5 linked regions of the Tribolium castaneum genome follow. The protein of the gene in region 1 interacts with the protein of each later gene in a pairwise test. Links are inferred from orthologs where the notes say so. Each region holds a gene or a part of one and is shown in the gene's direction. Other genes may lie near its edges. The genes, in order: mitogen-activated protein kinase 1, Mbs, Git, Es2 and Dhps.

Region 1 (4,349 bases):
ATTTTTATGTTTATTCACCTTTAATTAAACAAAAATGTGAGTTAAAATTATTCCATTACGTCACAACTTGTTGCTACGAAAAATTATTTTCTTGCACGAATGTTTCCGATTCAAAAACTATTGTTTTAAGACACTAGCTGTTTCAAAACTATAAAAACACCAAAGTAGTATTTTACCGAATTATTTTTCAAATTAAAGTTGATAAAAATTCATTGAAAGTATAAATTATAGTATTAGATTATTATAGAATTATAGAATAGTATTAGAAAGAGTTCAAAATATTACAAAAAGACTAATGGATCGAATGAATTATTTTGATAGTTTATATTATGTATTAGCTGTTTCAAAACTATGTAAACACCAACGTCGCATTTTCTCCCCAAATTAGTTGTTATAAATTATTTATGCACTTAAATTAATAGCTAATGTAATTTATAGTTGCAAGGAGAGATCTAATCATTAATAACTATTTTATATTTTTATAAACCTTGGTAAATTGCGACGTTGGCGTTTACATAGTTTTGAAACAGCTAATAGAAACTGACGAAGAATGCGAGCTTTTTCATTTAATGTTTCTGACAACAATGTCATTAGTATGTCACAATCCTTATGACTTTGTTTGCAAAAACGCAAACTTACCTTATATAAACTTGTGAAAGGTTTTTGTGATTAAAATACGTTAGGATATTATTACTGCTGAACTGCTGACTCGCATTAAAGCAGAAAGAAATATTTTGACCAAAAAAAAAAACAGAAAATTATGTCCGAAATTTTTGACGATAAATTCTGGGTTTGAAAAATATGTCAAAAGAAAATATTCTTACGTGACTAAAATTTTAGGATAACTTTTAAATCAAAATAAGTAAGCGTCAAATTTTTAAATCAGCTCTAAAATGTGTTATTTTTGTAAATTCGGAAACAATTTTAAATGAAAGATTTCTCTACTAAATTAGAAATGTTTTGCAAAAATATAGTTTGTTGCTCTTGTATTGGCGTTTTTTAACCGGAAATTTACAATGAATTTGAAAAAAAAAATGTATGAATACTTAAACCCAGTATTAATAAATAATAAAAAAAGAACATTCAGTCACTACCTCACAAGTCAGTTTGTATTTCATTTTAAGTATTTGTAACCGAGTTTAAACTGGTTAAAAAGTCGATTTAATTTGTTGTTCTGGTAAAAAAACTGTAAGTTCAAATTGTTTGAAAAAAATATGGTGACTTTCTAAGAACCTTAGCAACAATATACATAAGTTTGAAAAAAAATTGTTAGTCATTTAAAAATAAAATGAAAAAACCTCAATTTTAGCCATTTTATTTTTTCATTAAAAAATTGTATTATGTTTTTTGATAATTTTTTGTATAGTTCTTGTATATGACTTACTTGTAATACTATATTTTTTTCATGTCATTTGAACTCTAGGTTTTTCCATAAAAACATTAAGATTATTACGCTATTTACCCCGTTATAACTTGGTTACAAATATTTAGATCGAGATAATAACCGATCTGTGAGGTAATAAGTGAACCTAGGAACATTATCCAATTTAAAAAAACGGTTTTGTGTGTTATTTTTCTTAAAAATTGAGTTTCAAATTTGTGCATTCGCATGCCCACCTGGACGGTGAGTCGAGTATAGTTCAACCTTAATTCGTAACCAAGCACTGAAATACGCTAAACCAGAAAATAAGTTGGTAACCAGAATTATTTAGTTTAGCGGTCAATTGAAATACTGGGCATTATAAAAACATAATATTTTAACGATAAACACACAAAATTTGAAAGACTTTGTTTTTAATTTGGGAGCATTTTTTAATGAAAAACTAACTAAAAAAAAAACAACAAAAACTAATATATCATTGGATTTGATTGTTTTAATAAATTTAAAACATTTTTATGTATATATGCACGAGAAATTCACTAAATTCGAAAGATTTAGCCAAACGAAAAATCGCTAAAATAAATCTGAAACACATTATACCTTCTAAAATTGTAGGTTGACTTAAATATTAGTTAAATCAGATCTAAAATTTGTTATTTTTTATGAATTTAGGAATATTTTTATTTTAAACACTTGCAAAAGTAAGTCGGAAATTTGTTACTTGCACTTGTTTTGCCGTTTTTTTTTACAGAAACTCGAAAAGTTCTGTTGAAAGATTGAAGATAAAGATCGTTATATAAATTTGCTTCTTCCGTCCGATTTTTTCTAGCGTTTGTCATTAGAAACTCATTAAATTCAACCAATTTGGCCAAAATGTAGTACAAGCAGATCACCAAACTATGAAATGTATGTGACTTTCTATTTATTAAGGAATATTGTATATACAGGCTGTATCAGAAATACGTGTCTTAATTTTAACAGGTAACAGAGCTTAACAAATAAAACATGTTTTCTATTTGTAATTTTTCAATAAAAAATTCGTAAATTTTCTTAAAATTTAGAAAAAAATAACATACTGAAAACGTGTACCCGCCTATAGGTAGAACAATAAAAGAGCCGAACTATTTTTGTTGTGATAGAAACGGACAATTTAAACAATTTGAAACAACAATGAAAATTGTTGCTATAAATACAAACTAATTATTAAACACTGATCGGCTCGTTTGTACAAAAGAAGGGAGGAAAACAGTGAAAATTATAACTAATTTTGCAAAATGTTACATAGAAAAGTTGTCGTATTTGATGAGTTTTATTACGTGTTTACATTAACACACGTATTTCTGATACACCCTGTATTTCAACGATATACTTAACAAAATTTGAAGGATTTTGTCAATACAGAGTGGAAGTTTGTGAAACTAGGTCTGAAGTGTGTTATTTGCTGTGAATTTGGGATCGTTTTTCATTGAAAAGCTCACAAAATTAGAAGAAAATTTTAAAAGCAAAAAAAACAAAGTAAAGTAACTCATTTTTCATTTCTTGTTATTGGCGGTTTTAGAATTATACCTACTTTTGTATTTTTATATATTAAGAACATATAGTTCTTAAAAGTGACATTGCGGATATTTGCAAATATATTTTTTTGATTTCAGCGCCTGAAAATCTATAAAAAATTATAACTTTTATATAAGGTATATAAATCGTGTAAAATTAGATCAGTGCGTGTAAACTAGTGATATTAATTGAGCTTTTTAGTTGACTGTAAAAGCTCGCAACTTTTAACATTTTGAAGTCACTGTTTGTCAAATAACATTATTAAATGTACTTAAAAATGAGAAATGAGAATATGTAGAAATAAAGACCAACTTCTGCCTGTTTTTTTGGGCTACAAAGCATTTAATTTGTCTAAAAATGTATAAGTATAAACAATTTCACTCATCACATTCATTTGCATATTGTCTATAGTATTACTTTAAATAAATAATAAAGAAATTTATTTTGTAGCAAAAAATATTACTAGCGCACTTGCAATTTCCAACAAACATAATTCTCTAGATATTAACATTAATTATAGTAATTATGTTTGTACTTGTTGATATTTACGTGATAATTAGGTAATGCTAATTATATTAATCAGTCCACCAGTTAATGCGTGAAAATTAATTTAATTGTTAATTGTTTGATACGGCTCACAAAGGAAAAAAGAAGTCTGTAATGTAATCATTTTGAATTGATATTCTTCCGAAGTTGATTAAATTTAAACAAATTTGTGCCACCTTTCTAACCAGCCTCTGCCGACTTTCCCCTAATAAGTGGAACGTATTTGCAAATTCACAATTTTTCCACCAAAATCCAATCTCGCTTGTAAATGACATTTCATTTTAATACAGTTGGATTTGTTTCGTTGTGCTTGGAAGTTTGAATTGTTGAGGAACTGGAAAGCTCGTTAATTAGACGGAGCAGTTGTCATATCTTCCCATGATTTAATTTTTTTTGAAGTGGAATGTAATTCTTGTTACAGATCAGCACTGGATACCGCCACAAATACAAAAGTTGCGATTAAGAAAATATCCCCTTTCGAGCATCAAACTTATTGCCAGAGGACTCTCAGAGAAATTAAAATACTCACAAGGTTTAAACACGAAAATGTAAGTATTTTCCTATGTTGCATTGGTGGTAAAATTTCATTAAGTTGATGTTATTTGGAAAAAACTACCGAATCATCCATCACTTTCACGCGACGCGTTTTAACATTTTTTATTATGATTAAATTGTCATGGCACCTTGCGAATGGTGGTCGCATTTGTCGACTCGCTACAAAGTTTGTTTTTTCATAAATATATGACAATTTTCGGTGTTTGAGTGAAGGCTGCGTAAAATTGGAAAATTTCAATTTCCTTGTTTTATTACAAAAAGTGCTACTCTTCTTTTTCCTTTTCTTGAATATTGGAGTTAAATTTGTGTACCT
Region 2 (4,962 bases), on another chromosome or scaffold:
CGTCATTATAAATTTCGCAAAAAAACTCACGTCAATTCCGACCTAATTTCATCATTTTTTGACAAAAAATAAAAAAAATAAGCGAGTTTCATTCTTAATAACATTTTAAATCTAACAAAAAAAAAAAGAAAATCATTTCATTTTTGACCTTAACTTGTGATTTTTTGGTCCGTTTTAACGAAATTATGCTAAATAAGATTTTTGTCTGAAAGAAAATCATCTGAAAAGGACAAAAGTTCCGAATTTTAGATTTACGTGAACAATGAACTTTTACCTTAAAAACACAAAAAAATATTAGTTTTTCATTTATAAAATGAGCTAAGCCTGCCATTTCACATCATTTTCGACTTCAAAAAAAATTACCATAAAAAATTAAAACTTCGCAAAATAAGTGAGTTTTTAGCACAAATAAGATCATTTTCTACGTAATTACTGATAAGGTAATTTTTCGTCCTTCTTACAAAACTTGGCTTTTATGATTACTTAGTCTTGGTGTTTATTTAGATGTGAAGTAACGAAGTAAGCTGATATATTAATTTTCCGATAAAATACAAAAGAACACATAAAACAGTTAAGATATGCGCACAGACGTCACCAAAACCCTTGAAACATTCAACAATTGTGTTACTTTTGACTACAATTAACTACACCCTCTTACCATGCGATACGACTTGCGGAAATCATCATGGCCGTGGCCATGTCCCCTGGAGCCCGAATACCGATCGCTGGAGCCCCCATATTTGGACCTCGAGTCAAAAGAGTCTGAAAACGATGAATCGAAGTTCCTGCCACCGCCTCGGCTATGATAACCGCCTCGTCCGCCGCCCCATGAACCACGTCCCGAACCCCCACGATACCCACGTGGAGAATACCCCCGACCACGTGTCATGGCCGCTGTTTGACTGTAACTGGAAAAAAAACACAACCGAAACTCAAAAATTGTACAAAACTTACGAGTACTTCGAATTCGAAAAAACGCCACGCATTCTTACCTGGGCTTGTAATAACTCATGGTTTACTGAAACCAAAATATACTTCAATTAAACTGGAAGTAATGGAAAAAGTGCGCCGAATTTTTAATCTCTAATGGTGGGTTTAAACAATTTGAGTGGTCCAAATTTACTTACCGAACCAGGGTATTGGCGAAATTACACAACGGGACGTGTGATAACACTGTTTTTATGTGTGTAGGTGAAAAATAAAGATAATTTTTTATGAAAATAAAAACCAGCAACAAATACCGGCTAGGACGCTTACGACAATGGCGTCTGACAAATGGCGGTGAACAATTTCCGGTAAAAATTGCTTTCAAGGACGCTCACGAGGGGCGCTCACATTGTAATAAAACTCTGTTTTTGCATACGATTTTTGCATTGTGTTTAATCAATTGCATGGTTTTGTGTTTTTCTATTGCTATTTGTTATGTATTTTGTGTTTTTGTAATTTAACAATTAAAATTAACTGTTATTTTTGTGGCGGTTTTCTGTTTTTGTTAGTGTTTAGAGCATGGCGGGAGATGTCGCGGTAAAATTCATTATCGCCAACCGCACCCTCTGTCAAACAGCAACCGAGTGAACTTTGAGGTGTTTGGTGAGGAGTGGGTAATGGTGGCCGTTGTGAAAAGTGTTAAATAACCATGTCTTTAGAGACCCGTTCGAATTCGGCCCTTTTCAAAAGGGCCGAGCAATTGAAACGTTGGGAGGACTCGGACACGAATCGCGAGCCGGTTTATCCGAAACAAACCTCGCGGAAAATCAAATTTTCGTCGGGTTGTGTGTTCCTTGCAGCGTGCGCCGCGGGTGATAAAGATGAAGTCTTGAGACTTTTGGAAAACGGTGCCGACATAAACACTGCCAATGTCGATGGTCTTACGGCCCTCCACCAGGTAATTGTACCATCGAAACCATGTCCACCTGTGGCCCTGGTACCCCATTTCCCAGTGACGTAAAACCCGTGTCAACATGGCTACTACAGCTGAGAAGCCAAAAAATTCACTATTTTTGAACAAATATCGTTATTTCCGATAAAAAATTGACACAGATAAACCCGTGTTTGCTCCCAAGGCGGAAGAACCGTTGCTCCAATGAATGGATGAGATAAAAACGCTCTGGGAAATTGTTATAATTATTTACTATGTTTATAATAACACCAACTTCCAAACAGTGTTATTAAGATGATTACAAAGAAATCATTAAAAATATTATTAAGATTACGCTATTACTTAACAGAGCATAACTCGTTTAAATACAAGTTTTTATATTGTTTATTTACTCATTTTTTTGGGGCAAAAAACGCTAAATTTTATTTCCCGGACATAATTTTTTACGTTTTATCATGTAACTGTTACCTAAAAAATGATGTACCCAATTTCTGACACAATTTATGAGTTCATGTTGTAAAATTATGGTTTGTAGACTCAACGTGAGTCAGGTAACACAACTTTACTTGGATATTATTCCAAATAAATCGCTATAAAATGAGCAAGTAGGTGTCAACCGTAATAAAGATCGTCTTCAGTGAGGGCTTTTATTTTTACTGTTATTTCTAATTCGAGAAGTATTTCGGATATTTTCAGACAAACATAAAAATAAATTGCATTCATTCATTGAAAAACCTATTATTGTCGATAATTCCTTGACGAAAAAGACGAATTACTGTGTTTTTTTTATTAGTCTGCTTTTTAGTTAAATGAAAATGTTAATGGTCTTAACATTGGCATCACTAATCACTAGCAAATACAATCTTAATGAAAAAGGGCAGTTCTAGGTTTTTGTTTTATTTTTAAAGAAAATTTATTAAAGAGATAATATAGCAATTAAATAAGGTTGTTTAGAAAGGAGAAGAGAATAAAAGAATTTTGAAACTAAAACTGGGAACAACTTACAACATCCATCAATTTTGAGCCAGTTTCAAGTAAATTTAAATTTTTGTAGAAAGAAGCTCATATTTGCTCCATTTACATGCAGTCTTGTATCAATATCATTGAATTCTGCCTTTAAACGATGACAACGCTTTCAAAAGACATTAAAAAACGGACACATGAAAGAATTGCCATTACAAGAAAATTCGTTTAAAATGTTTTTATTGTTACAGATTCAGGTAAATAGGGTAGACCCGTGTTGATCCATTTGTGCATTTAATGGCATTTGAGTAAAACACAAAGCGGTGTAATAATGGTCTAGTTTTTACAGCTAATTTAATTGCTTGTCTTGTAATTATGTAATAATAAAATAGTGTTTGCTGTAATAATTACCGATTATGAAAGTTTATTTTTGGTCCGAATTTTAAGATTATATTAATAGAAGACCTTCAAAACATAAGGCTCCACTAAATTTAAAATGAATCAAGTGGGGCAATTATTGATATATTTTTTGTCTTACGTAAAGCAGCGTCTTTCGATTGATTTTGTGTGTGTGTGTGTGTAATTTTTCATGTCAGGCGGCTTTCTATTGTTAAAAGGAAAAGGTTTATTGTTTCGATATTAAGTAAATTGTAAATATTATGATTTGTTCCATTACTTTGATGTTATTTCTGAACTTGTGTGTTCATCAATTAGAAGGTGAATATACTCGGTGTAACCCTCCCATAGTTGTGTCATGGTTATTTCAAGAAATTACACCAGGGTGTAGTTTCACGTTTTTAACATTTATCTTAGATACATAGCTCGGCATTGAGCAAATATGTGACAATAAAGTCGATGGTTATTATTTGAACTAATCCGATAAGGAATTAACTAAATAGGATGAGTCAAGCCGTACAGACAGAGTAGCTCGTTCTTTCTCGTCGGTAATGAATAATGTGGGCATTCAATTTATCAGTCGACTGGTTCGTATCGTTTTTGTTGAATTTAATTTGCACGAGATATCCAGCGGCCGAGCCCATTGATGCAATCCTTTTGTCTTCACTTGATATTTTTAAGTATGTTTTATGCAGGTTTAGGTTTCCATATATGGCATAATCGTGTCGAGTTGTGTCGTAAGTCTTGGCGAATTTCTACACGCCGTAAAACTTGTCAAAATTATTAGATTGGCGAGGTTTTTAAATGATGACTTGAACGATCAGTTTGAGATCATAAAGGGTCTGTGACAATCTTGCATTTGGGGCTTACTTACTGTGTACTTGTTACACTTGTAAAGCCCCGGGAAGGTCTGAGATGTGTCTTTAATGCTCCAGAAGGGCGCTTGCATTTTGCAAGGCGAGAACACCAGAAATCTGCGATGAGGTTTCAAAGCCAAGGATTCGCTCTGGCGATAGGTGGTGGAGCTTTATCGTTGGAATTTCTCGTGACCGGCTGTTTTAGTTCAATTTGCGGGCTAGTGTTTTACTAGAACTCAATTCAGACTAATCTGTTACAGACCCGTCTGTTGACTCACGATCGATGCCTGATAAAAACCTCCTTTAATATTTCTGTTTGGTTTTTTATGTGATGATTTTGACTCGGGGTTGACTGAGGTATGGCATAATCTCGCATTTGGGGCTCACATACAGTGTATTAGTTACACAACTAACAGCCTCGGGAAGGTCTGAGAAAACCCGATAACGTTCTAGCAGGATGCTTGTATTTGGCAAGGCGAGAACACCAGAAATACGCGAAAAAGTTTTTTAGCCAAGGATTGACTTTGCGCATAGGCGATGGAACTTTTCCGTTGGAATTTTTTGTGGGTAGCGATTTTAGTTTAATTTGCGAGCTAGAGCGTTACTAGAACTCAATTCAGACTAATCTGTGCCATACCTCCCAAGTCCTCTGGTGTTTTTTCTGATAAAAAACCAATTTAATACATTATTTTGGCCGACGAGCTCGTACAATGTGCAGTTGTTGCAATCTTATTTTTGTTTTGGTCGAGTCAATGACCTTTGTGGTTTTTGCCGTGGAATCACTCATGCCAAAATCCTTGTTAACCAAATCAATTACCAACGATGGATAAAAACAATAAATAAATTAATGCCACACGTCTATAAGTT
Region 3 (5,070 bases), about 2.7 Mb from region 1:
AAACGTTGCAACTCGTCATTTTATTTAAAACCTTCTAAGGAAGTTGCTCCTTTCGTCGTTACATTTTATTGCAAGTCAAGGACGTCAAAAAGTTTTCCAAATATATTTTTTTAACAACTTACCTCAATTGGGTTATTTTTACAAACGACGCAGATTTGGTTCTCTGGTAAATTTTGATCACGCATTTGTCGCCGCCTCTTCCGTCTTGATTCTTCCAGTTGTTGTTTCCGCTTACTTTCCTCCAATTGTCTGTCTTTATGGCGCAAATATTTCCGAATTATGAAACCCCCAATAACTAAACCGATTGTTCCGAATAATATACACAGTAACTTGTAATTTCGTTTAGAGCCGTCTAACTTTTTAACCAGCGACGTGACTTGCATATTTGTTAAATAAAAGGGGGCCCCGTTTGATGGGGGCTGCAGCCGCAACATGCTGGAATCTTGTGAATAAACCAACTCCCCAATCCCCGTAATAGTGGTGCCCTCCCTTAACATTTTCTCAGTCGACTGGACCCCCCGTTGCCTGATCCCGGCAAAGAAGCCCCAGATGTGGTCCATGACACTCGGAACAGTCGGATTGAAGACGTCCGATATCGTATCCATATCTAGACACGTGTGATTTAAAAAAGTTAAATAAACCTTGAAACCCACCTAAGACGTCAGCAGCTAACGGGTCCGCAACTTCCACAAACACCGCCTTATTGCCAATGGAAAAAGGCATAACATTGTGGACTTCCTGCACAACACGTTCGGAGTCCGACCAAAATCCTGTCGTACTCCGCTGGATTACATGCTCCTTAATTCGTAATAATTGCACAACGCCTGTTACATTTGGATTATTGCTGCTGACAATAGGCCTACCTAGTGGTTTAACAGTTCCCCTTATGGATACGTATGACAGTTTTTTCTCTGGATGTGTCTCAACTATTTCTTTCAAGTCTTTATTGATGGTGAGATAGGGGGCCCCCTGAAATTTATAATTTAGTCAAACTCACACAAATCATGCCATTACCTGGATCATAGCCATGGCATTCTTGTTCTTGTAGTACTGCTTGATACATGCCGCCAAGATCACGAGATCTACACCCAGGGCTATGCCCTCCGTTAAATAATCCATTTCGTTTTTTACTTTTGTAACAAATTGGGGATTTACAAACTTATCATTGTCACGGAAATTAGATAAAAGCGGCAATTTATTACCGATAACAATTAATTACAATTGAAAATTATCACTGACAATTTAACCTAACTCTGGTTAGGTTGGCAAAGCTGACTGACAATTTGTGTTCTTACTTCAAAATGTGTAGATTTTCGGCTTCGGAATAACACAAGACTGTAAATTATTGTAAAACGAACGCAACGAAATTTAGAAATTCGTCTCTAAACGTTTGTTTTTTATCAAAAATTATTTTTTTGGGCCGATTACAGGAAACTGTACCACACGGTGACATTTGACAAGAAAACCCTCCAACATGGCGTAACAAATATTATTAATCAAACATTTGTTTGTTTATATTTTAACACTAATTGGTGATAGTGGCGTAACATAAACACTCGTTTGTGGCGATGTCTCGCGTTAAGTCGCGCCAGAATGTCGAAATTTGTGGCGACTGTGGTGCCCCTGGTGAGTCACATCCGTCAAGTTTAAATTCATTAATTCCCAATTAATTGCAGATGCGACTTGGGCTTCCATAAATAAGGGCATTCTGCTCTGTACGCAATGCTGCAGCATACACCGCAGTCTCGGGCGGCACATCTCACAAGTGAAGTCGCTCCAAAAGGGCAGTTGGAACCCGAACCAATTAGCTGTCAGTTCATTTATCTCTCCAATTAACAAATGACTAATTCTGACTTGCAGATGGTGTGTACGTTGAATAATAACGGGGCTAACAGCATATGGGAGCACAATCTTCTGGAGAACAACGGGAAATTGATGAAAAAGAAGCCCAATCCCAAAGATGCCATCAGGTGGGGCTCACGTTTGAGACTACTTGTATAAAGTGTAATTTCAGTGTCAAGAGCGAGTTTATTAAGGCGAAGCACCTGCAGTGCGCTTATACGTTCCGCGACAACGCCACCTATGACGAGGGGCTTGAAAATGAGCTGGGGAAGCAGCTGCACGCTAGCGTGAGGACACCAAATTTGGAGACTTCGTTCCGGTTACTTGTGCAAGGAGCTGATCCGAATTATTTTCACGATGTAAAATATCACTACCAATTGATAGTTTTTACAAATGAAATTTTAGGAAAGGGGCACCACACCCCTACATATAGCCGCTAAAACTGAGCAGAAGTTACAAGTGGAACTTTTGTTAGTTTACGGTGCTGATCCAACATTCCCAGATGCCCACGGCAAAACACCCATCGATTATGCAAAGTAAATATCCACTCATGACATCATCTGTTTATACATTTTTTATCCATGTTTCAGGAAAAATGTCAATAAAGATTTGTTGAACAGATTAATAGAAAGTCAATATGAAGTTACGGATGCGTTCATACAGTATTTGACTCACAAGAGGCCGGATCACCAAAATGGCATACATTTTATTTTGCCACAAGGCGGCTTTGAATCAAATCCTAATTCCCTCACAAAGTTGCAAAAGGTGTGATTTTACTGATTGGTAAAAGTTGCTATAATTCAGTTTTTAGATGAAAAATGCGCTCTTTGAACAGTTAGCCATGGACGTGTATGATGAAATTGACAGGCGGGAAACAGAAGCAAGTAAGTAACAAAAAACATTTGAGAAATAGCCTACTTATCTAATCAGTGTCATTCTTTTTTGCTATTGATTAAGTTTGAGGAAGTTGGTAAGTGCCAACTATTGGTTTAGATTACGGATATCTAAAGGTTAGGATACGAAACGATCTACAAATCTACAAATAAAACGGTACCGTCCTCGATAGTTCCGTTAATGGCGACAGAGAGCGCAGTTGTTCTAAATTTTCAGAGCAATGAATTAAAAAATGTTGTATTAGCATAACGGTTAGCACAAGGCAAACAAACATTAAATTCTCAATAGTAAGACATAAACATAATGCAAAAGTTTTATCGTAAACTATTTTTAATTTTTTTTAACATTTACCAATTTGCACTCGGTTCTATATTTTTCAAAACGCTGCGATTCGGTTACAGATGCAAGAAAAATATTAGTAAGTAAAATACGGGACGAAGCGCAAATTTTAAATACAGGGTAAGTCAATAGTGGGTTACTTCTAAAATTTTTTAAACATGCAACCAATATTACTATCCACCTGACCAGATTGGTCTGTCGTGACATTTTGCTAAAATTTCATTATGGACTATTATTATACAGAGTCGCTAAAAAGTATGGATACAATTAAATATTTTCAGAACGGTTTAACAGAAAACCTTGAAATTTGGGAAACAATTAAAAGTGTTTAAATTCTATCATCTGAGAGCTTTTTCAAATTTTTATCCTCATTTATTTTGAAAATACGAGGCTAATTTGATTTTTTTTATATGGCACAAAAGGTCAAATTTAATCAATTTTAAAAGAGCATTTTTTTTCTGAATTCAATAATGTAATATGATATATGACCTTTACTTTTATTAAAATGTAAAAAAATTCGTGGAGACAGAAAGCCAAGAAGTTAGTGGAAATCAGTTTGAATATTGTTTGTAGCATAAAAATCAAGTATTCAGTGTTTAAAATTTCTTAAATAAAACGTGTTTTTTTCAGTTAAAAGTGTTATTTTAACAATTATTTTCAACTTTTACTTATTTTTTAGTTAATGAGCTAACAATAGATAAAGACAACATTTCCAAGGCTAATAAAATTTTACATTTTTCAAAATTTTCGATGTTTTTTTAAAGTTTTGATTAAAACAAGGTATGCAAGTGTTATACCATAGAACCCAGAAAAAATGCTCTTCTCAAAAATATTAAATTTGACCCTTGTTGCTATTTAAGAAAAACAAGTTAGCCTTGTATCTGAAGAACAAATGGAGATTGAAATTTAATAAACATTTGAAACTATACAATTTATATAGTCTTAAACATATAACAAATTTTAATAAGTTTTGATGAATAGTTCTTATAATATTTAACTGTATAAAGATAAAAAACCAATGTTGATTCAATTAATGTTTTTAAAAATCAAATAAAGTATACAAGTGGGAAGTGCAATTATGTAGTATTTTTATCTTAGGACATGTTAGAAATAGCCCAGTATTGATTCACCCTGTATTTTTTTTCAAATATCTTATGAAACTTTTAGTCGCCAGTTTTTCTCAGACTGTTAAGAGTGCAAAGCTCAACATTTCTGTATTTTTTCCAAGTAATTAGTAAATTGGTTGGATTTTAATTTAATTAAAACGCGCCCTCATTTTTACTCTGCCGTACTATTTTTTTGAGTTCAGAAAATCCAGCGTTTTTGTATCTCGTTTCGTCTCCTACGTTATATTCCTTCGTAGTTTAGATAACACATTGTTGTTTTGTAAGTAATAACAAAAACTGTTTATAGTTTGGTTGAGTTGCGTGGACGCAATTGATCTAAACGTGGTCCCTTTCCTTCCCGTGGACTCAACAATGTCAAAACCGCGAAATCAAGGTCGTCAAAAATTGGCCCGTTTTTCAACTCCTGAATTAAAAAGTCTAGTTTTTGATATCTTAATTGACACACAAAGACGCCAGTTGTTATCCGAGACAGGTAATAATCAAACACAGTTGGTAACACTGTAGTAATTCCCCTAATTAGGCCCCAATCGAACGCACCTTCGTGAATATTCGCCCGTTTCGGACGACGATCCGCTTTACGACTCTGTGGCACCTGACGAAGATTACGCATTGCCGCCAATTCAAGAAAACGAAAAACCACAAACCGACACCGTCGAACAGCTCACAAAACAATTGAAGGCGTCGGACAGCACCATCTGTGATCTCAAAGCGGAAGTGAATCAATTAAAAGCGCACGTCGAGAGTTTGAAGTGCGAAAATATCGAACTGAAAACGCGTTTGTCCCAGTGCAAAGTTCCAGAGACCAATAACAGTATTAACGGCGATGAGTTTAGTTCGCTACAACCGATAATATCGAACGGTGATGTTG
Region 4 (5,015 bases), on another chromosome or scaffold:
TAAAATAAACACGAACGTTTTGCCAAAATTTTGACTTCATTTGTTTATTCATTTTTTGGTTCCAAAATAAATTTGTTTAGTTTTAAAAACTTGTTTTTACCTTATTTGCGTTTATTTTTTGAATTATACAAGCAAACCAAATTTTTGATAAATACTTAAACATTTATTGAGAACGGATATTGTGTAACAATTTGGCTCTTGGCATGTTTAGGGCAACTAAGCAACGTAAACCGCAACTCAACCATCGAAAACACCCGCCGTCACATCGGCAAAGGGGTCCACCTATACTACGTCAACGGCGAAGTTTACGCCGAATGTCTCTCCGATTCGCCAATTTTCGTCCAATCCCGCAACTGTAACCACCACCATGGGTTTCACCCATCCGCCGTGTGTAAAATCCCGGCTGGTTGTTCGTTGCGTATTTTCAACAACGCCGAATTTGCTCAACTCCTCTCCCAATGCGTGAATCATGGTTTTGAGGCCGTTTACGAACTCACAAAAATGTGTATGATACGTATGAGCTTCGTCAAGGGTTGGGGCGCGGAATACCATCGTCAGGACGTCACAAGCACCCCCTGCTGGATCGAGGTGCATCTCAACGGCCCCCTCCAGTGGCTCGACAAGGTGCTGACCCAAATGGGGTCCCCTCACAATGCCATAAGTTCGGTCTCGTAATCGGTAATAACACGGGACGTATGAGTGCCATTTCAGGTTATGCAAATGCAACGGTGGGAAATTACGTGTTGCCTTACGGTAAAGTGCATTTTTCAGCATCGACGAATGATTATTTATGTGTACAGGAAACCGAGCTGAAAACTTGTAAATTCTGGATGTAATTATAACGAATTATTAATTATAATGTGTCTGTCTTAATTGATCTCTAGATGGCTACGATTTTATTGGTTTGTTGGTTATTTACAGTTTAATTCACAGACAGCGTTTTTAAATATTGTTTGACTTTATTTTATTGTTTTGGTGGGGCCTTCTTGCAAAAAATGACAGCATTTTAAGTTTAGCAAGAATGTGCCGCCCTGTATATTAAAAAAAAATTAAAAACTTTCTCAAGCATCAATGCAGGTCGCTGATATACCGGGTGATCAAGAATGCTTGTTTCGGTTGGCAACGGTGTGACATTTGACGCGATAAGATTTTTGGTTATGTCCTTATTGCCAACTGAAAAATCTTTTTTCTTAATTATTTTTCGAGCTGGTTTCGACAAAATTTCTACGTTTGTACTTAATTCCTGCAGTGATCCTCGAGGAAGATTTGCCTTTGGCTGAACAACTGGTTCGGTGGTACAAATACGAGTGTAATAGAATCATAAAGAATATTTTGTGCAATTAATAAACTCCGTTAGCCGTAAGGATAAAATAAGTGTATTTGTAAGTAAAATATAAATCAAAATATTGTCCATTTTACATAAGTTAAAGAGTTATTGTTACATTACAAGTTTTTTATAGTTGTGTATTCAATTTCTTGTTTGTTTTATCAACGATAAAAAGGTTGGGTGGCAGCACCAGCTGTCGAAGTGTATATTTTTGAGATATTATCCATATTTACTATACCACGAAAAGTACACCTTTTTATATTGTCAGTGCAATTTTTTATTTTCGTTTTAAATAAAATTGTGGATTACTGTCTCGTTTTTTGGTAATAAGAAACGTTACCCTGTGCTTAGGATTGGCTACGTCTGCTTGTGTATCGATTTGTGTATGTGTTAACATAATGTGCCAAAAAATTGTAATCGTTGTCGCCGGCTTGAATGAAGAAAAGCTTATCGGACTCATGTTAGCATAACCAATTAATATTTAGTCTTCAAGTAAAGTGAAATTGAATAAAAATCGTGCAATGAAAAGTTCAACTCCAAAGCATTCAATTTATTGGCTAAACAATTCAAATTTGGCGCCCGTTTATTTAGTGTGGAAAGTTGCCGATAGGGGCACCACAAATTTTGGAGGTTAGTTTCTCTAATTAATTAATAATGTGCGATTTTATATTAAATTGATAAAAAAAATTGTTTTAACCGCAACTCACGATTACGCTTGCATTAATGATTGATTAATCATTAATTAACGAATTTTGAAAGTGACAGTTTGTTGTGACGTTTCGTTGACAGCTAACCTAAAAGTTATCACAGTGTGGAAAATCACTTAAAAATGGGTGAAAACGTGGAAAATACACCCGGGCGGCAGGCAATTGCCGTGATGAAAGACATCCAGAAGGAAATTATTTTCAAAAAACCGGTGGGAACGCCTCGGAAACGAGTCAAAGAGAAGGTTTTAGATGAAGACACTTATGTGGAGGTAATTTGTTTATTTACCTTTTTGCGGATTTGAAACTCACCAGAATTGTTGTTTAGCACATTGGTAAGATTATCCAGCGCGACTTTTTCCCCGATCTTGAAAAACTCAAAGCCCAGAACGAATATTTGGAAGCCGTTGAGAGAAACGATGTGACCAAAATGAGGCAACTTTATATGAAATATAGCGGGAATAGACCGCCAACACAGAGGAGTAAGTGGTAAATTTTTACTTTAGCTACTTCTGGATTTTTGCAAATTTTTTTTTTGCATTTTGCTTTAAAAAGCCTCTAGATCAAAGATATGACCATGAAAGTTTGTGCAAATGCCCCGTTTTCGAAAAATTCGACTTTGAATGACCTTGACGTAGACTTTTTAAATTATTAACACTCTAATAAATGATATTAACCGTAAATGTAACTATAAATGAGGCAAGGCGTCTACAGATGATAGCCCGCAGGCTGGGGCTTCGCCCCAGCGACCTAAAAATAAACATACCCCACGGACGATTAAACTCGAAAATGTTGAACTCGAAACGTGGAATAGTGGTTTTTATGGAACTATGTTGCGCGTGGCTGGGGCTTCGCCCCAGTTAACTAAAAGGAAACATACCCCACGACCAATTAAACTCGAAAACGTGGAACTCGACACGTGGAATAGTGTTTTTTATGGAGCTAGGGTGCCGTACAGTTCGTGGCCGGAGGCTGGGGCTGCGCCCCAGTTAACTAAAAGGAAATATACACCACGATTGGTAAATTAACCTCGAGAACGTAGCACTCACAAAAAAATACCTTGTTCACCACTAGTAAGTAAAATAGTAATGGAGTGGTGTTGTTGGTAAATTGCGTGAAGGGAAATGCGGGAATGCAACAACGCATCCCCACTTCCGTCAATCAGCCAATCAGAGCACAGAGACATAAATTCAAATTGCAAAATATGAAAAAATACACCTACTTTTTAATGAAAAAGGTGTAATACGTCATTTAAATTCATTCTGGGAATACCCGAAGGTGTTATAATCATAACAAACACGCAGGTGCGATTCTTACCTGTTGAAGCTAAACAATAACAGCCAATCAGAAATAAGCACACGCAACGCATGCACACCCTGGTGGCAAACGTTGTATCCCTTAAAATCAACAAAAATGGCGATTCAAGTGAAATGAGTGAAAATAAAAATTATTTTTCTAATGTTATTTTCAATTTGCACAAGAAAATTCATAGTGTACGGTCATCAGGGCACTCAGAGGAATCGTTTGGCGTAAGTTTCAGCTTGAAAATCCAGAAGTAGTTAAAGTAAAAAATTACCGAGTAAGTGTGTAAAAAAGTGTGTTTTGTGTATTAATTGCATTCTAGTACCAAGCCCTGCGACTTTTGAGACACCTGTCCACAATTCGTTTGAGACTGAAGCCCCGCCAAAGCCACCCCCTGAGAAAAGCGAACCGAAATTGAGTTTGGATCAGTTTTTGAATTCGCACACGTCTGAGGACAATCGCAGTTTTAGTGAGATTTTGGCCGAATCTGAGAAAAAGCACCAGGAGAAGTATTCGTTTTTATACAAGGAGGAGGGCAACAGTGAGAAGGAGCGACAGGAACAGTTGGCTTTGCCCTCAATTGTGAAACAGGGGGAATTACCGGAAAAAAAACTAAACGTGGACACTTGGAGCTACAAAAATAAAAACTACATAATGTACATTCCTGACGGGGTTCCCCTGACACAAGAAGAAGAAATGGAATTGAACAAAAACCGGCAAGAAGTCGTCCACTGTAACACCCGCCTCACCATCAACCCTTTCAACGAAATCCAAAGCAAGGAGGCTATCACCGAACTGGCCAAAAACCAGGCGAAAATCCACGACGGTAAAATCGGCGTTGACGGCAAAGAACTGATGAAAGACAGCCCCCAGATCAGGGGCTTCTCCTTCGTGAAGACCCCCTCGCCCCACCCGAACCTCACCGACACCCCCTTGATGACGTGGGGCGAAATCGAGGGAACCCCCTTTCGACTGGACGGCAGCGATACGCCCCTGCCCCATTCGCAAGGCCCCTCGTTTAAAATGTCGGAGCCCCCACGTCGTGAACAGCTCGCCATAGCTTTGGCTGAGAAAGTCGGAGAGAAGAATCGAGACAGGAAACAGAAGGCTATGGAGGCGGCGCGAAGGCGGTTTGCGACGCCGTCCCCGAGGACGGAAAGATTGGCAACCATGTCGCCGGCGGCGAGACGATTTGCCACCTCCAGGTTGGGTTTAAGGGGTGATTTTATGACGCCCAGTCCGAAAATAAGGGCCACTCCGGGGACTCCCAAGAGGATGGTTACGCCTAAACTGAATCTGGGGATCAAGAAAATCGATAATTTGACCGATGATTTGTTGAAGATTAGTGTGCCGAAGAGGCACAAAGCCGCCGATTTTTTCTAATTGGAGATTGTTTATTTTTGGTTAATAAATATTTGTTAAAACTGGTAATTTGTTTTTATTGGCTTCCCCAAGTCCTAGAATAATTAAAATTGGTCTAGTTGGAATTTAGTGGCAAATGTTTTAATAAAAATGAAATTAACTTTATTTTTAAACAATTATTTGGTCAATTTGATTATTTATTGTAGTGAACAATAGAATTACAAATAATTAAAAAAATACAGTTTTACAGCGCACTATTTGAATTTGACCCCAATTCTAAGTTAAAAAGGGGTGATTCTAAGGCTATATAGGTACAGCTT
Region 5 (4,537 bases), on another chromosome or scaffold:
TAAATGCAACTTTATTTAATGTAAAATGTTTTCTCTAAAATTATTTGCTCAAGAAAATAAGTTTCAAGGATTAGACAACAAAAACCTTAATTGTCGAAATCATAACAAAAATTAATGAATAAGACAAACCTCTTTGGTTCCTACCTCGCAATAATTACGTATTTCAAAGATTATATTTTTTGTTGGTGACGTTTATTCTTACACAATTATTGTAGTGCTGTTTAATTTTATTCAGTTTGTTACTCGCTGTTGTCACGAAGAGTCGCTCATAAATAAAATCAAAATTTTGCAGTTTAAAAATTTCAATTTGTTTCCTAATACGATTTATTCAGTATTAAAGATTAAATCTGCACTACTTTCATTCTAAAAAAACTACATTAATTCTGTAATATTTTCAACTACTAATTCAGTGGTTCACAGTTCTAATTTCAGTATTGTTAATGTTTTGCTACAGGAAAAAATGCTACAAAGGTAAGTGCATTATTTTTCATCTCCAACAAGATGTTGAACATGTGATATTATGATATATTTTTAATGTCTTGCGCTACAACTGTAGCAGAAAAAGATGCCATAAAGGTAAGTGTATTTTATTCTATTTCTTATTTATTGCCAAGTGAGAAAACTTAATTTCTGTGTTGTACTTTGTATTTCATTTCACAAACAAACAATTTATTTATTTATACATTTTCTAATAATAATCTTTGTTTATCTCAACCTTATTTCCTTTCCTTCCTAACAAGAATGCTTTAGACCTCCACGTGGTTCTTGCTGGACAAAATAATTTGACTAATTATAGCAATCCCTACGTGTAATATGTATTGTTGGTTGCATCTTACAGGTGTAAAATTATGTTCAAACTCCTTGTATTTCCCTACAAGACAAGATTTAATAATGTGCGAAAGCAAGCCAATGCAGATACGGGGGCTGTCGTTAAATGCTTGTTATTTAAAGACACTCAAGGCCACAAAACATACAAATACAGTGCGACCACGATAATCCAAACTAATGTTAATCTATTGAACGCAAGACGTTTAGTGTAGTTAATACATTCTCCCAAAAACTAAAAAAAAAATGAGAAAAAATTGCAAACACAAAATTGTTTTCTGAAAAAGTTCGGATTACCGAAGTCACGAAAAAAAGGGTAATAAAAATTGGAAAAAATCAGTAAGCCGCATACCAGCACCGATAACCCCACACTTACTTTAAAAATAACATGCGTGACGTCCCTCGTGAACTGCTCCCTGATCGTGGCCCCCATCAGCTTCATCACAGCTTTGATGCCTTCAGACTTGTCAACCCCATCCCTATTAACGTCCACGAAAGCCCTCACCCCTTTCAACAGCTCGCCAAAGGGCAGTTTGGGGCCCTTAACCTCATTAGCTGTCTCACTCAAATCCGAAGAATCGGAGGTCGAGTCTTGGTCTTTCTGCTCGAGCATCCTCCTACGCAGCACGGCCGTAGGGCTTTCACAATGAACCCTTCGTTTGACATTTTTTAGAGGCGTTTTTTTCGTTTCTTCCTGGCGTTTGTAGGCTTCGAAGCCACTTTTCTCCTGGACAAGTAACTGCAAGAGTTGGGCTTTTTTGACGGGGTCTTTCATCAAACTGGCGATTATGTCCGACGAGGGAATGTCGCTTTGCGTTGTCGACATGTTTTAAGTTGAAAACACAGACAGGAAACGAGGAAAATCACAAAATATCACATTTTTGACTGTTTACCAAAACACCATCACAGCACACTACGATCCCGCCAAGCGACTTTTAAACAGTGCTACCAACGGGGAACTTATCACCAACTGGGCCAATCCACCACAAATAATTACCAAAATCGCCCCCTAATCACCCCTAACTCTTCTAAAGGCACAAAATGGCATTAAATTATCACGGGATGGGTCGTTCGGTTAAAATTCGCAGCTGGATGTTAGTGACTTTATCCCCAGGCATTGCCACACCTGTGACTAGTGTTAGTTTGATTTGTGGGGTTAGGTGTGGGCATGGCAGCCCCCATTGAAGCCCTAACAGAGGCAGTTTTGCAAAAAACAAAAGACTCGTCGTTTCTTAAAGAAAAAGTGTCAGGTTACGACTGGTCACAGGGCTTGAACTATGACAAACTCCTCAAAAGTTATCTGCACACCGGTTTTCAAGCCACTAATTTTGGACTTGCCGTTGAAGAAATCAACAAAATGATCGAATGTCGCAAAGCCCCAATTCCCGAAGACAGGTACGTCGATAATGAGGACCCCTTTATCGGTGTCAAGAACAACTGTGCGATTTTTTTGGGGTACACCTCAAATATTGTCTCGAGTGGCTTACGCGAGACAATTAAGTTTCTAGTGCAACACAAGTTGGTTGATTGTATTGTTACGACAGCGGGGGGCGTAGAGGAGGACTTTATCAAGTGTATGGCCCCCACGTTTCTGGGGAATTTTGCGTTAGATGGGGTCAACTTAAGGAGTAATGGGATCAATAGAATCGGGAATTTGTTAGTGCCTAATGATAATTATTGCCAATTCGAGAACTGGATTATGCCCCTTCTGGACGAAATGTTAGTTGAACAGAAAGAGGGGGCTTTGTGGAGCCCCAGTAAAGTCATAACTAGGCTAGGTGAAAGGATAAATAACGACGAAAGTATTTATTACTGGGCTGCTAAAAATAAAATCCCTGTTTTTTGCCCGGCTTTGACTGATGGAAGCATAGGCGATATGATGTTTATGCACTCATTCCGAAATCCGGGCCTGGTTTTGGACATTATTTCGGACTTGAGACAGTTAAATTTAATGGCAATGAAGGCAATCAACACCGGGATGATTATAATCGGGGGTGGCGTGGTCAAGCACCACATTTGCAATGCCAATTTAATGGTAATTAAAGTGGCCTGTGATTTTGAAATTAAGTTGGCAACTTTGCCTTCAAACGTCACACTTAGGCCAACTATAGCACCAGTGTTGTCAGCTCAACAAGTGCCAAATCTGAGTTTTTAACTCAAAAAAATGTAAAAATAACGTCTGTCTAGTTATGTAATTGTTTTTTTTATTTGCGTACTTATGGCTTGTTTTTATCGAGATTTTGGAACAACGTGCTAGAATACTAAAAAAATGCAAAACTAACATAATTTTGTAGTTTTTGGCTTGTTTTGACGAAATACATTTTCATTTTATTGAATTTTCTACAAAATATTCGGGGAAGTGCTCAGTTTTTAAAAAGTAATTATTGTAATCCCAGTTACCGCAGATTTTTTTTATTTCTAATAAATTCGGGGTTGCCAACTTAATTTCAAAGTGACAGCCCACTTGATCAAAGAATTTAATCGAAAATTTCAGCGAAATGGTGCCGATTTTTGCGTGTTTCTGAACACAGCCTCCGAGTTTGACGGCAGTGACTCGGGGGCCCGCCCCGACGAGGCCAAATCCTGGGGCAAAATAAAAAAAGAAGCCACTCCTGTGAAAATCTACGCCGAAGCCAGCTTGATTTTCCCACTTTTGGTGGCCCAAACTTTCGCAAAGGAGGTCCAAATCAAAGACAAATAGAAACTTTATAATTTTATTAATAAAATAATTTCACTGCTTATGAAAAGTATAAAATTGACTTAAATGGAAGTTCGGAGTGCCGTTAATGTTCCAGTTCAAATTCCAAAGCCTTTGGCCTTGAAATTTAGTTGGCAACAGTAACTGGCAAGTTCAGCGTGTTGCCAACTTAATTTCAAAGTTAACTGCATGGTACAGAACGGCGTAAGATGCTTTGGGCAATTTACAGTACCTGTCATGATATTTGCTAACCTAAAAACACTTAATATTTGTAATATATCACGGTATAATTGATAAATGCTTAAGATAATAATTAAAACTGATGACGTGATGTTGGAGTTTTACTCGTTAGGAACAGAATCCCAAGACACGTTTTACGTAATCGAGGGTGTGTTTGAAGCACAGCCTCCTTGATAGATTACCGATACTTTGGCAAAAATGCTCAAGGTGGCTGTGGGGGAGAATTAGTACGAAATGGCAACTAGATCAGTTTGAGCTTGAGATAAAATCAAATGGCAACTTGATTGTTCTTAATTCTTTTGTTTCGATAATTCGACAGCTTTCGATAAAATAATCTGTACATCCATGGGTGGGAAGTTTTGTAATAATTTGAGATTGGAGGGAAAGTCGCCATTTAACAACTTGTTCCTTAAAATACTGAAACTTTTCGTTAAATTTTTTTCTTGGAAATCAACTTACACAATCATGGCGCAACAAACATAGATCAGGAAATCAAAACGTGACTCATCTGAGAACAGGGTGTCCCATATCCTGAGCACGTCAGGCAGGGGGAATTCCTGCGATAGCAACAGCGTAATCCACCTAAAAATTCCCTTTTTTGACACTAAAAACTAAGTTAAAAAGTTTGACATTTGTCAAAAATGACAACTTTTACGATATCTAGGTTTACAGTACTAGCTATTTTCATGTCTTTAAATGCGATAATTGCTATTGCTTAGTAATGTCATTAGAAAATCAAGTGAGTAAGTAGTAAAATGTTGACATATTCACCAG

Evidence for each region.
Region 2: the proteins of mitogen-activated protein kinase 1 (region 1) and Mbs interact in a two-hybrid assay, tested with the Caenorhabditis elegans proteins (3 studies listed by BioGRID). The link is inferred for Tribolium castaneum from reciprocal best matches to the Caenorhabditis elegans genes mpk-1 and mel-11.
Region 3: the proteins of mitogen-activated protein kinase 1 (region 1) and Git interact in a two-hybrid assay, tested with the Caenorhabditis elegans proteins (3 studies listed by BioGRID). The link is inferred for Tribolium castaneum from reciprocal best matches to the Caenorhabditis elegans genes mpk-1 and git-1.
Region 4: the proteins of mitogen-activated protein kinase 1 (region 1) and Es2 interact in a two-hybrid assay, tested with the Caenorhabditis elegans proteins (3 studies listed by BioGRID). The link is inferred for Tribolium castaneum from reciprocal best matches to the Caenorhabditis elegans genes mpk-1 and ess-2.
Region 5: the proteins of mitogen-activated protein kinase 1 (region 1) and Dhps interact in a two-hybrid assay, tested with the Caenorhabditis elegans proteins (2 studies listed by BioGRID). The link is inferred for Tribolium castaneum from reciprocal best matches to the Caenorhabditis elegans genes mpk-1 and dhps-1.

The regions. Positions count from the first base shown.
Region 1 is NC_087395.1:21,097,440-21,101,788, reverse strand, and holds part of mitogen-activated protein kinase 1, read left to right. Parts: intron 1-3,902; coding exon 3,903-4,029; intron 4,030-4,349. UniProt on the Caenorhabditis elegans protein: Functions in let-60 Ras signaling pathway; acts downstream of lin-45 raf kinase, but before the lin-1 gene product in controlling vulval cell differentiation. Plays a negative role in proximal germline proliferation in the mitotic zone.
Region 2 is NC_087394.1:37,236,607-37,241,568, forward strand, and holds the start of Mbs (protein phosphatase 1 regulatory subunit 12B), read left to right. Parts: upstream 1-1,549; 5' UTR 1,550-1,636; coding exon 1,637-1,885; intron 1,886-4,962. Other genes in the region: uncharacterized protein DDB_G0286299, read right to left, coding at 659-908, 961-986.
Region 3 is NC_087395.1:18,435,294-18,440,363, forward strand, and holds the start of Git (ARF GTPase-activating protein Git), read left to right. Parts: upstream 1-1,421; 5' UTR 1,422-1,568; coding exon 1,569-1,626; intron 1,627-1,676; coding exon 1,677-1,810; intron 1,811-1,860; coding exon 1,861-1,970; intron 1,971-2,014; coding exon 2,015-2,201; intron 2,202-2,247; coding exon 2,248-2,378; intron 2,379-2,432; coding exon 2,433-2,607; intron 2,608-2,653; coding exon 2,654-2,726; intron 2,727-4,488; coding exon 4,489-4,674; intron 4,675-4,722; coding exon 4,723-5,070. Other genes in the region: Mul1 (mitochondrial E3 ubiquitin protein ligase 1), read right to left, coding at 123-607, 654-969, 1,015-1,119.
Region 4 is NC_087401.1:9,414,603-9,419,617, forward strand, and holds Es2 (splicing factor ESS-2 homolog), read left to right. Parts: upstream 1-1,786; 5' UTR 1,787-2,156; coding exon 2,157-2,303; intron 2,304-2,359; coding exon 2,360-2,513; intron 2,514-3,655; coding exon 3,656-4,716; 3' UTR 4,717-4,760; downstream 4,761-5,015. Other genes in the region: protein mothers against dpp, read left to right, coding at 212-675. UniProt on the Caenorhabditis elegans protein: Regulates pre-mRNA splicing.
Region 5 is NC_087394.1:3,355,678-3,360,214, reverse strand, and holds Dhps (probable deoxyhypusine synthase), read left to right. Parts: upstream 1-1,861; 5' UTR 1,862-1,993; coding exon 1,994-2,860; intron 2,861-3,319; coding exon 3,320-3,526; 3' UTR 3,527-3,854; downstream 3,855-4,537. Other genes in the region: MCPH1 (microcephalin), read right to left, coding at 1,202-1,651; TBC1 domain family member 13, read right to left, coding at 4,054-4,180, 4,223-4,345. UniProt on the Caenorhabditis elegans protein: Catalyzes the NAD-dependent oxidative cleavage of spermidine and the subsequent transfer of the butylamine moiety of spermidine to the epsilon-amino group of a critical lysine residue of the eIF-5A precursor protein to form the intermediate deoxyhypusine residue.